3 linked regions of the Macaca mulatta genome follow. The protein of the gene in region 2 interacts with the protein of the main gene of each other region in a pairwise test. Links are inferred from orthologs where the notes say so. Each region holds a gene or a part of one and is shown on either strand. Other genes may lie near its edges.

Region 1 (3,750 bases), on a different chromosome or scaffold from region 2:
CCACTGTTCTCCCAACCAACCTGAATCAGAATCAGTTATTTTTACTTTCTTCACTTGCCCTCTCATCCATTTTGGCTATTCGACTTCCTTTCTTCCTTTCCATTCGCCTGCACCACAGCTCAGATCCTCACTACCCATGACTACAAAAACTGGGAGGTCTTTCTACCTCCAGGTTCTCCCTACCTCAATTCACACTACAGGCCGCTATCCCACTAATCCTTCTGAAACAAAGTGTTCAAATTGTTTCACTCCCAACTCAAAATCATCTGTGGAAGCCCCATCACCTAGTAAATCCAAGGTCATAAGCCTGGCATTAAAAACAACCCATAAACTAGTTCAAATTTTCCCTTCAAGTTTTACCATCCTTTATCCTGGTACAAATAAGCTTATGTTCCATCCAAACATAAGTACGTGCCTCTCCCTAAATAGGGACTCTGTGCTCTCTTAGAGAGATACCTCTTTGCTTGGATTACCTTTCCTGCCTATCCAAAGTCATAATCGTCCTTCCAAACCATGATTTCAGAAGCCATAAGCTCTACAAACTAACCCTCTTATCTCTACCTTGCCAAGTAAGATCTGAGCTCTACTCTTTAAAGTTTACTTCTGAGAGGATTTTGGTACCATTTATGAAACTTATATATTAAAAGACAAATAGGGCATTTGTGTATAGCACTATCTACCTAATTAGTGTGAAGGCAGAAACTGCTAATCGGTTCATCTTTGTATTCCCCAAAATACCTCCCACAATTATGCAGTAAATGCTTAACAACTGTACAAGGAAGTAAAGGAAATTTCAGCCACCGTGGGGTAAACAGCAAAGATTACCATCTCTTTGAAGGCAGAGACTTTATCTGTGACATCCTGTATTATGCCGGTAGCTCATAATTATTGCTTTTCAAAACCCTGATGTAGATCTTACCAGCAGTTTCGCATTTTAAGGTAAGAACTATCTGAAAATGTTAATAAGCTATGTCCCAAAGAACTATTCCAAATACTTTACAATTCCCAATCTGAGTAGCTCCCAACACTTGGCCACTACACTTTCCATTTTTTAACATACTAACCATTTATAAAAAATGATCATTTCTAGTCGCAGCTAATTTACTACTTGATGGCTAAAAACAAGTCACACAATAAAAGAATGTCTTTCTTTTTTAAAAGGTGCATTTTGCTTGCGTAATACACACAGATTTGGTGAGGCAGGTAAAGTGGATTTACACATGAACTCTTGTTTAAAAAAAAAAAAAATGCAGGTAACTGTAAACCAAGTATTTCAGGTAAAAACACCAAATGGGGAAAATAAATATAACTTTGGACATGATTTTTCCCCCATTACTATTACTAGTAACATTTTAAAGCAGAAACACAAAATCTTGTTCTACATTAACCTACACACACACAAAATTTTGTTAAACTTATCAAATAGAAAAAGAAAGCAAAATCAAGCCCCTGAAAAATATTTTTATTCTGGAAGAGTAAAAATGTCAAAATTATAACAGACACTACTCTTCTTTGGTAATGAAGGTTTCATATATTTACCAGAGCAAAGAAAACTCCAAATCGACAGAGCAAAGAAAGGACTGTGAACAAGACTGATCATTTAAAGGTCGTAAAGGTAAGGAGCAAACTACAAAATTAAATTTTTTTAAAAAAGGACACGAAGATGAAAGGAGAGTCTGTAAGTCACAGACAAGATAAGGACTGGTAAAATCTGCAAGGTCACTGGAACCTACCAGGTCACAAAAGGTGGAGGTGGGGGTTGCGATGGGGGGGCGGGGGATGGGGAGCTGCAGAGTCGGTGAAGAACGGGGAGTGATAAAAACATGTCAGAAAAAGACGTTCCAAGGCTGCAGTCCTTGGTTTGCAACGCTCAAATTGGGGTTAAAGTCAGGGCACGGGCAATGAGTCCATATATTTGTGTTTTGAGGGAGGTGTTAGGGAAAGGTGGAGGAAGGCGAAGAGAAGGCTAAGAAAGCCTAAGAACTGCAGCTGCAGAGTCACGGAAACACTTCGCTCCGCTCCAGGATCACTGGCACAGGCCTGTGCCAGGACGAACTCCGGGTAAGACCCGTGACCCCACCCTAGAAAACTCCCGACTCCCTGGCTGGAGAAGGCAGCCAAGGTAGGGCGGACCGTCCCCCGACGGCCCCTAGGAGGGTCCAGCCCGGAGGCGGACGGCGCCGGGCGCCCAGCACCGCGACCAAGGCTCCGGGCCCGTGCCCCCTCCCGCCCTGGGCGCCCGCACCCCCAGCCCCGCGCCGCGCCGTCCTTACCCGGCGCGAAGCTGTCGGCTCCCGGCAGCCGGGCGGCCACGGCAGCGGCACCTCCTCCTGCGGCGGGCGCCCTCACCCTTCCGCGCCCAAGATCGCCATCTCGCAGCAGGCGCGGCGGCGGCAGCCACCCAGGCGTCGGCCCCGGCAGCCCAGGCCGCCAGCAGCCACTCGGAACCCGCACGCGGAGCTTGCCGACACCCGACCCTCCCCCCACCCCCACCCCGGCCACGCGCCACCCCCAGCCGACCCCACACCTCCCTTCCTCGGGAGCGCGCCGCGTGGCCGCGTCGCCGGCGCCGCGCCCCGAGCGCGCGCCTCCCCGCCGGCCCCGGCACAGCGCGCTACACCGCGGCCGCCCAAAGCCTCCAACTCCGGACCCGGAATCCGCCTCCCCCGAGCATGCGCAGCGAGGGCGCTCGGATGCTGCCTTAGGAAAACTCCGCTCCTCCTGGTCTTCCGAGCGGTCGAGCGGAGGGGGAGGGACAGCCAATAGCAGGGAGGGGCGGGGCCTGAACCCGTGGAAGGGGCGGGGCCGTCGCTGAGATTTGGGCAGGGGCTGCTCTAAACGCGCTCTGGGCACTGCTAATTTGACTTTCCGGTCGGCGGTCGAGCCCGGAACAGGACTTCTTAAAATCCGGGGGCAAAAGTAGGCTGTTCATAAATACTCCGTGACCTGAGTGTTTGACCTCGAACCCATTGCAAGAGTAAATAATTGCATTTAGCTGTTGGTCATACCCGAAGACTTTCAGTCCGTTTTTTATTAATCAAAACGTTCATCTGTGGAAGTCCCACCACCTAGTCCTCACTCACATCAGCCCAGTGATAAAGCAGATACTTACTGACCAAGTACACGTGTTGGCACAACTAACGCACACAACAATCTGATAAAGTAGCGTCTACTGTCTGCATTTTACAGAAAAGTCAACTGGTTTAGAAAAGTGCTGCTGGTTATATGTATTGCTTTTAGAAGAAAGGTCAATATGCAAATAGAAGTCCGTGAGACCACATTACTTACCAGGTGATCCGGTTCCTACTTCAGAGAAGCAGAAGCCTTCAGGCATGGATTTCTACAGCTTTCCCAACCACCTGACCAACCCCGATAGATTATATCTACGTCCACACCCAGACTTACTAGTTTTCCTTCTATCTAGGGCCAGATGCCCCTGCCCCTCTCCACTGCCTGCTCCCCATTTTGAGCGGTCCTTGGCACATCTTTAACTTCACTGTCTCCACTGCCTACAACTCTCAGCATAATCACGTTTTAAGACTAGGTCCTAAATTTTCCCTTGATTTTAAAACCTGTGGTTCTCTCTCCCCTTCCATTTTAACTAAGCTTTTGAACTGTGTACCAAAAACAGCGCCATCGCTTCATCAGTGTGTACAGAATTCAACAAGTATATCTTGACTGAACAATGCACATTCCCGCCTACCTCCATGCATTAGTTCTTGCCCTCTGGTTTCACACTTGAATTTGGTG
Region 2 (3,133 bases):
ATGGATCTAAAAGCTCCAATATGCGAAGCCAGCTACAGTCAGAAATAACCGGTCTCCTTCTGCTGTCCTTACCTCCTTCTGCCTGGGAAAAGGTATGGAATTGTGAAACCTCACCTCTAGGGTCCAGTCCTGGAAGGCCCTGCAGATGACCCAAAATCTATCACAACAATCTCAGCACCTGAACTTTTAAACTGCCTGGGGCACAAAGATCTAGCAACCATTTGTGATGATAGCATCTAGTGAACTGTATAAGTGCTTGTTCTTTTTCCCCAGAGTTATTTCCCAGGGAGCAAGACTTTGCAGAAGGTCCAGGCCCACTGCCTGGTGAATGCTCCAGCTCTTAGCTCGACAGAGCTTGGCAGCCTTCCAGAAGCAGCTCCTGTTTATTGGGCTCTTGGGGCCACAGAGAGGGAAGGTGACAGAGAATGACATCTGGAGTAGCTAAGGGACACGAGGATGTAAAATGTTTCCCCCACACAGGTTAGTAACTAGAGCCTGACCCGGAATCGTAACTGATCACTCTTTTAGAGTGCAAACGCAAGACGGTCTGTGGTTCGTGTATCTCTTCATGCAAGGAATCAGATCATTCCTCTCCCTGAATCCCCTGAGGGACTGGGAGAGAGTTTGGCTTCTGGCTTCTGTAAGAAGAGGCCAGCAGGTAGAAAGGGGGAACAGAAGGGAAAGTGAGAAGGGTATTTACTCAATCTGAATTAAAAATTTACCTACATCCTGAAGTTGGTAATTACCCTGAGAAATTAGCCCACTTCAATTGAAGAAGTATTTGTTGGACATTTAATGCACAAAGACACAGAGTCGCATAACATCCATACGTCATTGTGGGGTGCTGTCTACAACATCTACCCCACTACCTGCAGCAATGAAGCCAACACCTAAAAGGGAATGGCTTTTTAAAAAGGTGGAGAGAAGGCTCCTTCCAGAAGGAAACACCATCCATTCAGAAATAGAGATATAGAGACTACCTAGTCCAACCCTTTACTTTAAAGAGGAGAAACCTGAGACCCAACTGGATTATGTTCATGCCCAATTCTATCTTTTCTCCAAGTGGCTTCAGTTTTGGGGATTGCCTTGTATTTTTTAATCTATAAGAAGAAAGGTGTTTATTCCCTCAGGACCTGTTGGCTTATCTTGCCAAACATTTCATGGGAATGTGAACAGCCTCTTAGAATCTTGTCAATATTAAAATTCACCTATGTCATCATTTTCAAAGGGCTGAGAAAACATGCCTTATCAAAGGAAACCTTCAATTCAGGAAATCAAATGTTGAATGCACTCCCCATTGTCCATATCCTCCGCTTCTATTCCTGGCATGCACTCTTTTCTTTTTGCAGACATGCTTCCACATCCCAGGAAAACTGGGTTCTCTTCCCTTGAGCCAAGAATGACGTGGGAAAGTTACCACACTTGAAAGCTCCATGGCTTCCTCTCTCTCTCTCCCTCCCCTGACCTCCCAACCCCATTTCCCTGAAGACTGTGACCATAAATTTACTCTGCCTTGGGCAGGAAAGCAGAGAAGCCACTTTAGCTGCTATAAAAATGAGTTATCTGATTCACATCTGAGATTAATAATAGAACTACCTGTTCTAGGAAACTGGCACTTGTGATGGCTTCCTCCATGTGCTCCTCATCAGACTTCAAAACAGATTTAATGTTTTCTACAAGTTCATGGATGTCTGGGGTCATGGTACAGGAGGACTGCTCCAGGAACCTTGCCACCAGCAGCTTGGTGTCCAGGTAGGATTTGTAATCTATCAAAGACCGCGGTCTGCATCGCGAAGTTCTCGATCTCAAGCCTCTCCTCAGAGTCACCGCAGCCAGATCCAGTCTCCTTTCAGTCTGTGTCGCAGCTTCACAGCTGAGCACCGGGGCAGCTGTGGGCAGAAACAAACAACGCGAACCCATTGGCCAACCCCTTTTGAACACATGCCCGTACCTGAAAGCACAGACCACAAAACTCAACATGGAAAGCATGTGACAAATGCTGATAGCCATGCACATCCTGCTTTTCATCTTGCAGAAGGGGGGAAAACAATTATGACACAAGGTTATTCCCTGATGTCCAGTTCCAATAGGATATGGCCCAAAACATGTCATCGTGCCATGTGACATCACCTGCAAAGTAAAGCCAGATGGTGGAGAGGAGAATCCAGAATGCAAACCATAATGAAGTTAAGTTTCATGGGGTATGACAAACAGATGGGCATGGATGGGCCAAGCAGGAAAAATGTGGCTGACCCATGAAAGGATGTTCCAAGGAGCAAGGATGAAGTAGTCAATTAAGAGAGGAAAGGGCTGAAGAGACAAGACTTGTCAGATGAATGTAATGCTCTGATCACTTTGACTATACCTTTGTCCCAAACGTCCTCAAGGACATTGTACTGACTTGTGCTATCGATGCTCACACCATGGATATGAGGTAGATCTATAGCTATTACAGAAAGAGAAATTTAGATGCAGAAAAAGTACACATCATGCTGGAAGTCAACACAGGGCCTGGGAAATCCATCGCAGGCTCTAATTTCCATGGCTACCTACATCAGCAAGGGTGTAAAGACCAGCAGAATGCTTCTGCACTTTGAAGTGGGTGAAGCAAAACTCAGATCTGGTCATTATGTGTCCAGAAGCCAGCCAGCAGCCTTCAGCATACACAACACTGGCATCAGTCTATGAAGGCCTGATAAGCAGAAATTTAGAAATTCAAAGAAGACAAGAAGCAGGGGGCGAGAGAGCAGGTGGAAGAAGGGGAGCACTCCTTTTCCTCTGGAGAAAGGCAGGCACGGGGAGCTCTAAACCAGGATTCAAGACTGTCCTCTCAGGCAGCCATATGCATGTCACAGAGAGCAAGAGTCTTCCAGAAGCACTCGCCAAAGACACTCATGTGTGAGGACAGAGTCAGTGTCTCCACTCTTCCACTTGAAGGCAACCTGGCACCTTCCACAATGGAGGGCTCCAGCAGCTGCTGTCTTCACCCCTGCAGGTCTGCAGAATGAGAAGGGGTTCCAGAAAGATTTCCCTAAGCTGTGCAAAACAGCTAAGTTCCCGTTGAGGCTGGAGTCCTCAACTTGCCAGGTAGGGTGTAGGAGACCCACAGTGAAGGCAGGTCTTGGGAATCAGA
Region 3 (3,750 bases), on a different chromosome or scaffold from region 2:
CCATGCTGACAAGTCTCAAGTCATTCACTTCGTAAAGAGAACTCTTTTCTTGAGTTGATGATGTCCCATCATCAAAATCCAAGCAACCACAGCACAGAGGTCAGTGACCCAATAACTTGGTGGCCAGGAGGGCACAAAGATAATCAGGTATTCTAGCCTGCATGCTTCAGTTTCACAAAACATTCACTTCCAACTTCTAACAGACACACCACCTCTTACTAGAACTTTCCTGACATTAGTTCTCTCCCTGTAATTGGTACTAGCTGGATGACCTTCAAAGTCACACCTGAATTCTCTGGGTTTTTCAGAAAATAAGAGATCTTCTAACTAAGAGATCTTCAAGGACCTTTCAACTTAAAAATTTTGACTATGAAATTTTCAAAGAAACCTTTCCAGCATCAGACTTCTGATGTAATAGTTCTTACTTTTTATTTATTGAGAAGAATAATGGCAGCTAAACCTGCTTTTTTTCTTTTAATAAGGTTTATGAAACCACAGCCTAACCCATGCACCAGGTGGGTACAGGAATATCTCAACTTGCTGGGTAAGTTTCATGCTGAGAACAAAGTGCTGGGAATGTCTATGTTCAAACTTGATCTTCACTCACAACAAAGGCTGCCAGCAGATACCACTGTCCCTATGTCCACAGGAAGAAGGCCTCAAAATAATAGTTGCAAACCACACTAAAGATCAGGTACATCCACGCAGACGCCTAAGAAAGGTGGTTTGAAATGAGTGTCAGTTTCACCCAAAAATGGGCTGAACACACACACAAAAAGGTATATGCAACTGTGCCCACCCCAGCTAATTACAGCCTCTTGTATTAATTTTCAAGAATAAATACACAAGTAATCTCTCGTAAATGTAAACTGCTGCCTGTACAGTGTCTCACTGTTGGGCACCGGAGTTTTATCAATATTGTTAAAACAAAAAGTGCATTAAAATGAAGGGAAATAATACAGGTCTTTCTTCTAAAATAATGGGTTACAAAGTATTTTTAATTTGGTGAGTTTTAAAATCTTCAAAATAATTTACCAGCTCTTTGCTGCTTTTATCTTGCCCAGACGGCAGTAACAATTACGCTTTAAGTATAACATATTTTTTTAAAAAAACTTTTTATTTTGAAAGCTCAAATTTATATAAAATTGAACGAATAGTATAACTATGATTTTTGAAAATTAACAGACTCATTCCAAATTTACGTTTTCAAATTTCATGCTCTTGGGGATTAGGAATATCGTTGCATATATGTAAATGAGACATACTTCTGCTGTATTCCCAAGAGTATCATTACTCTGTTATTTGTGTACTGGTAACAAATTCTAAGTATTTTAATACCATAACAAGGCAGGAAGCGAATGCCATTATAAATATACACGTATCATTCTCTTTCCAGTGTGAGGCAATGTGGTAAGGCAATGGCCAACTGTAAGTCTCAGATCTCTAGTTTAGAAACTGCTGGGGAGAAGTGCACCCTCTTTTATATTTTACAAGTCATACTAGGATACATTCGTATTGAAAGCACTTTCAAACAATAATACAATTTTAATTTAAAATACACACACACGCGCGCGCACATATATATGAATGTTTTGACACCAGCCTCCTGAGTCATTGGGTGCCTAAGATGGGACAGCAAACAAGATACCCCTCAACCAAGTTGGAGAACTTGAGCGGTAAAATTCCTCCCAAAAACCACCATCCAAGCTTGCGAGGGTCCCCCTCGAGTCCGCGGTCAGCGGGGTGCGCCGCGGGTCCCGGGACCGGAGGCCGAGCCGGCAGCAGGGGCCGCGGCGGGCCGGAGCCTCCGGAGCTGACCAGGCCGGCCGCCCCCTCCGAGCCCGGGAGCGTGAGGCCAGCGTCGGACACGCGGCCCTCCGCCCCGAGTCGAGCCGTGGACCGCACCGGACCCACTGCGGGGTCGCTTCCCGGACCACCGGATCGCGGGGCCTCCTCTCGCCCCGACTCCTGTAAAGGGCGGGTCCGGAGCGGGGACTCGTCCGGGAGCACCGGGAGTGTGTGGCGGGGCGCGGAGCCGGTGTCCGCCCGCAAGGGGCCTTCGCCGACCACCGGGCCCCGCCGCCTGGCGTCCCCCCGGCCCAACCCACTCCCCGCCGCCTGCCGTCGAGGTGGCGCCGCCGACCAGGGCGGGCCGCGGGCCCAGCTCACCTTGGGGCCCTCAGAGGGCACGCGCGGGTCGTTCCACGTCGTGGTACGGCTGTTGTGGTCCACGAAAAAGGGCCAGCCGGTCTGCGGGTCGATCTTGATCTCCCAGCCGGGGGGCAGGGGGTCGCGGTCACCGTTGCCGGACGCCACCTGCATCATGGGCGAGTGGGTGGCGGCGCTCATACTGGGTCGGGGTCTGCCCGCCGGGGCGCGGGTGTGGGGCGCGGGCTCCGGGCGCCGAGTCTCTGGCCGGGCCGCCGCCGTGGGCCCCTCTCTGCCGCCGACGTGTCCGGGAAGCCGGCGCCGGGCACCTTTATGAATTAAAGGCGGGGGTGACGTGGCCAGAGAGGGGTGGAAGTGTCTGGAAATAGCCTCCTCGGTGCCAGAGGGGAAGGAGGCGATAAAGGGAGGTAGCAACTGGCCGGCTAGAAACTTCTGGTCCAGTCCAGAGAAGTTGGCCGCGGCCCGGGGTTGGACGCGGAGCTCCGCCCTGAGTCATCCGCTATAATCGCGGCGGGCGGGGCTGAGGGGCCGGGGCGGGGCTGAGGGGTCGGGGCGGGGCCTCTCCCCGCTCGCCCCTCCCCCACCTTCTCCCGCCCCTCCCCCCGCCGTCTCGTGCGCGTGCCCGGGCCGGAGTCGCCGGGGGCGGGCGCGGGCGCGTCTTCGGGGTCCGCCTGCGGGTGGGGCGCCGGAGGAGCGGTACTGGGGGCTTACTCCGTGGCCCCGGGAGGGTTTCGGCTTTCGCACTCGCTCTCTCCCTCTCCTTTGCGCCGACTGAGTGTTCCTGGGGCTGGAGCCCGTGCTCCCCGTGCCTGCCGCCCCTCTTTCCTGTACAAAGCCATCTCGCCCACCCCCACCCCACCCCCACCCCCCAACCCCCCCATATATGATAGCCGGGGACCATGAGGGCTGTCCGGGAGGAGCGCGGGGACGCTCATCTGACACCAGAAGGAAGCCAGGGAGAAAATGGAAGTTAGTGCAAACTCACCTGCCTTCCTTTGGAAACTTCAAGAAAAAAAGAGATTGTGTCAGCTGATGGCTTTTAGTCTCCTAGACTAAAAAGAAACTTTCGTTGCGGTGAACAGCTTTAAAGAAAAATCACATTTTCTTGGATTCGGATCTTTTTTATGGTAGAAGTTGGTTCTTGCTGTCTTACATCTTGACCCTCATTTGGGAAGTAAAGACCGAACCTAACCATGACATTTTTTGTTTGGTTTATTCAATTGCACTTGTAACCTGTCAAAGGAGAAAATTACAACACATTTAAAGATCTTTTCTGTTGTTGTTGTTGCTGATTCTCATTTTTTAACTTTTGTTGTTAAAGTTCTTAATTTTATTTGTGATTCTAGAATTGGGCAACACCTCTATTAAATTAGAATAAGTGCTCCCATGAGCTGAGCAGAAGAGGTTGATTTTATAGACAGAGAAGGGCTGAAGAAAGCAGAAACAAAGAACCAAGACTGGATTGGTTGTTTCAAAATTACTTTCCTTGTAAGGAGGGGACAGCGAGACAGAATCATAGAAAAATAACTGATGAGGGCTTGCCACCATGGCTCATGCCTGTAACCCCAGCACTTCGGAAGG

The links. The genes of interacting proteins can lie anywhere in the genome.
Region 1: the proteins of ENTREP1 (region 2) and WWP1 interact in binary tests that used the Homo sapiens proteins (3 or more experiments, as listed by UniProt). The link is inferred for Macaca mulatta from reciprocal best matches to the Homo sapiens genes ENTREP1 and WWP1.
Region 3: the proteins of ENTREP1 (region 2) and BAG3 interact in a two-hybrid assay, tested with the Homo sapiens proteins (2 studies listed by BioGRID and IntAct). The link is inferred for Macaca mulatta from reciprocal best matches to the Homo sapiens genes ENTREP1 and BAG3.

Annotation. Positions count from the first base shown.
Region 1 is NC_133413.1:96,820,630-96,824,379, reverse strand, and holds the start of WWP1 (NEDD4-like E3 ubiquitin-protein ligase WWP1), read right to left. Parts: upstream 2,467-3,750; 5' UTR 2,274-2,466; intron 1-2,273. UniProt on the Homo sapiens protein: E3 ubiquitin-protein ligase which accepts ubiquitin from an E2 ubiquitin-conjugating enzyme in the form of a thioester and then directly transfers the ubiquitin to targeted substrates.
Region 2 is NC_133420.1:100,430,165-100,433,297, reverse strand, and holds part of ENTREP1 (endosomal transmembrane epsin interactor 1), read right to left. Parts: intron 1,890-3,133; coding exon 1,597-1,889; intron 1-1,596. UniProt on the Homo sapiens protein: Functions as an activator of the E3 ubiquitin protein ligase ITCH in the ubiquitination of the CXCL12-activated CXCR4 receptor. Thereby, triggers CXCR4 endocytosis and desensitization, negatively regulating the CXCL12/CXCR4 signaling pathway.
Region 3 is NC_133414.1:131,748,337-131,752,086, reverse strand, and holds the start of BAG3 (BAG family molecular chaperone regulator 3), read right to left. Parts: upstream 2,646-3,750; 5' UTR 2,350-2,645; coding exon 2,170-2,349; intron 1-2,169. UniProt on the Homo sapiens protein: Co-chaperone and adapter protein that connects different classes of molecular chaperones including heat shock proteins 70 (HSP70s), e.g. HSPA1A/HSP70 or HSPA8/HSC70, and small heat shock proteins (sHSPs), e.g. HSPB8.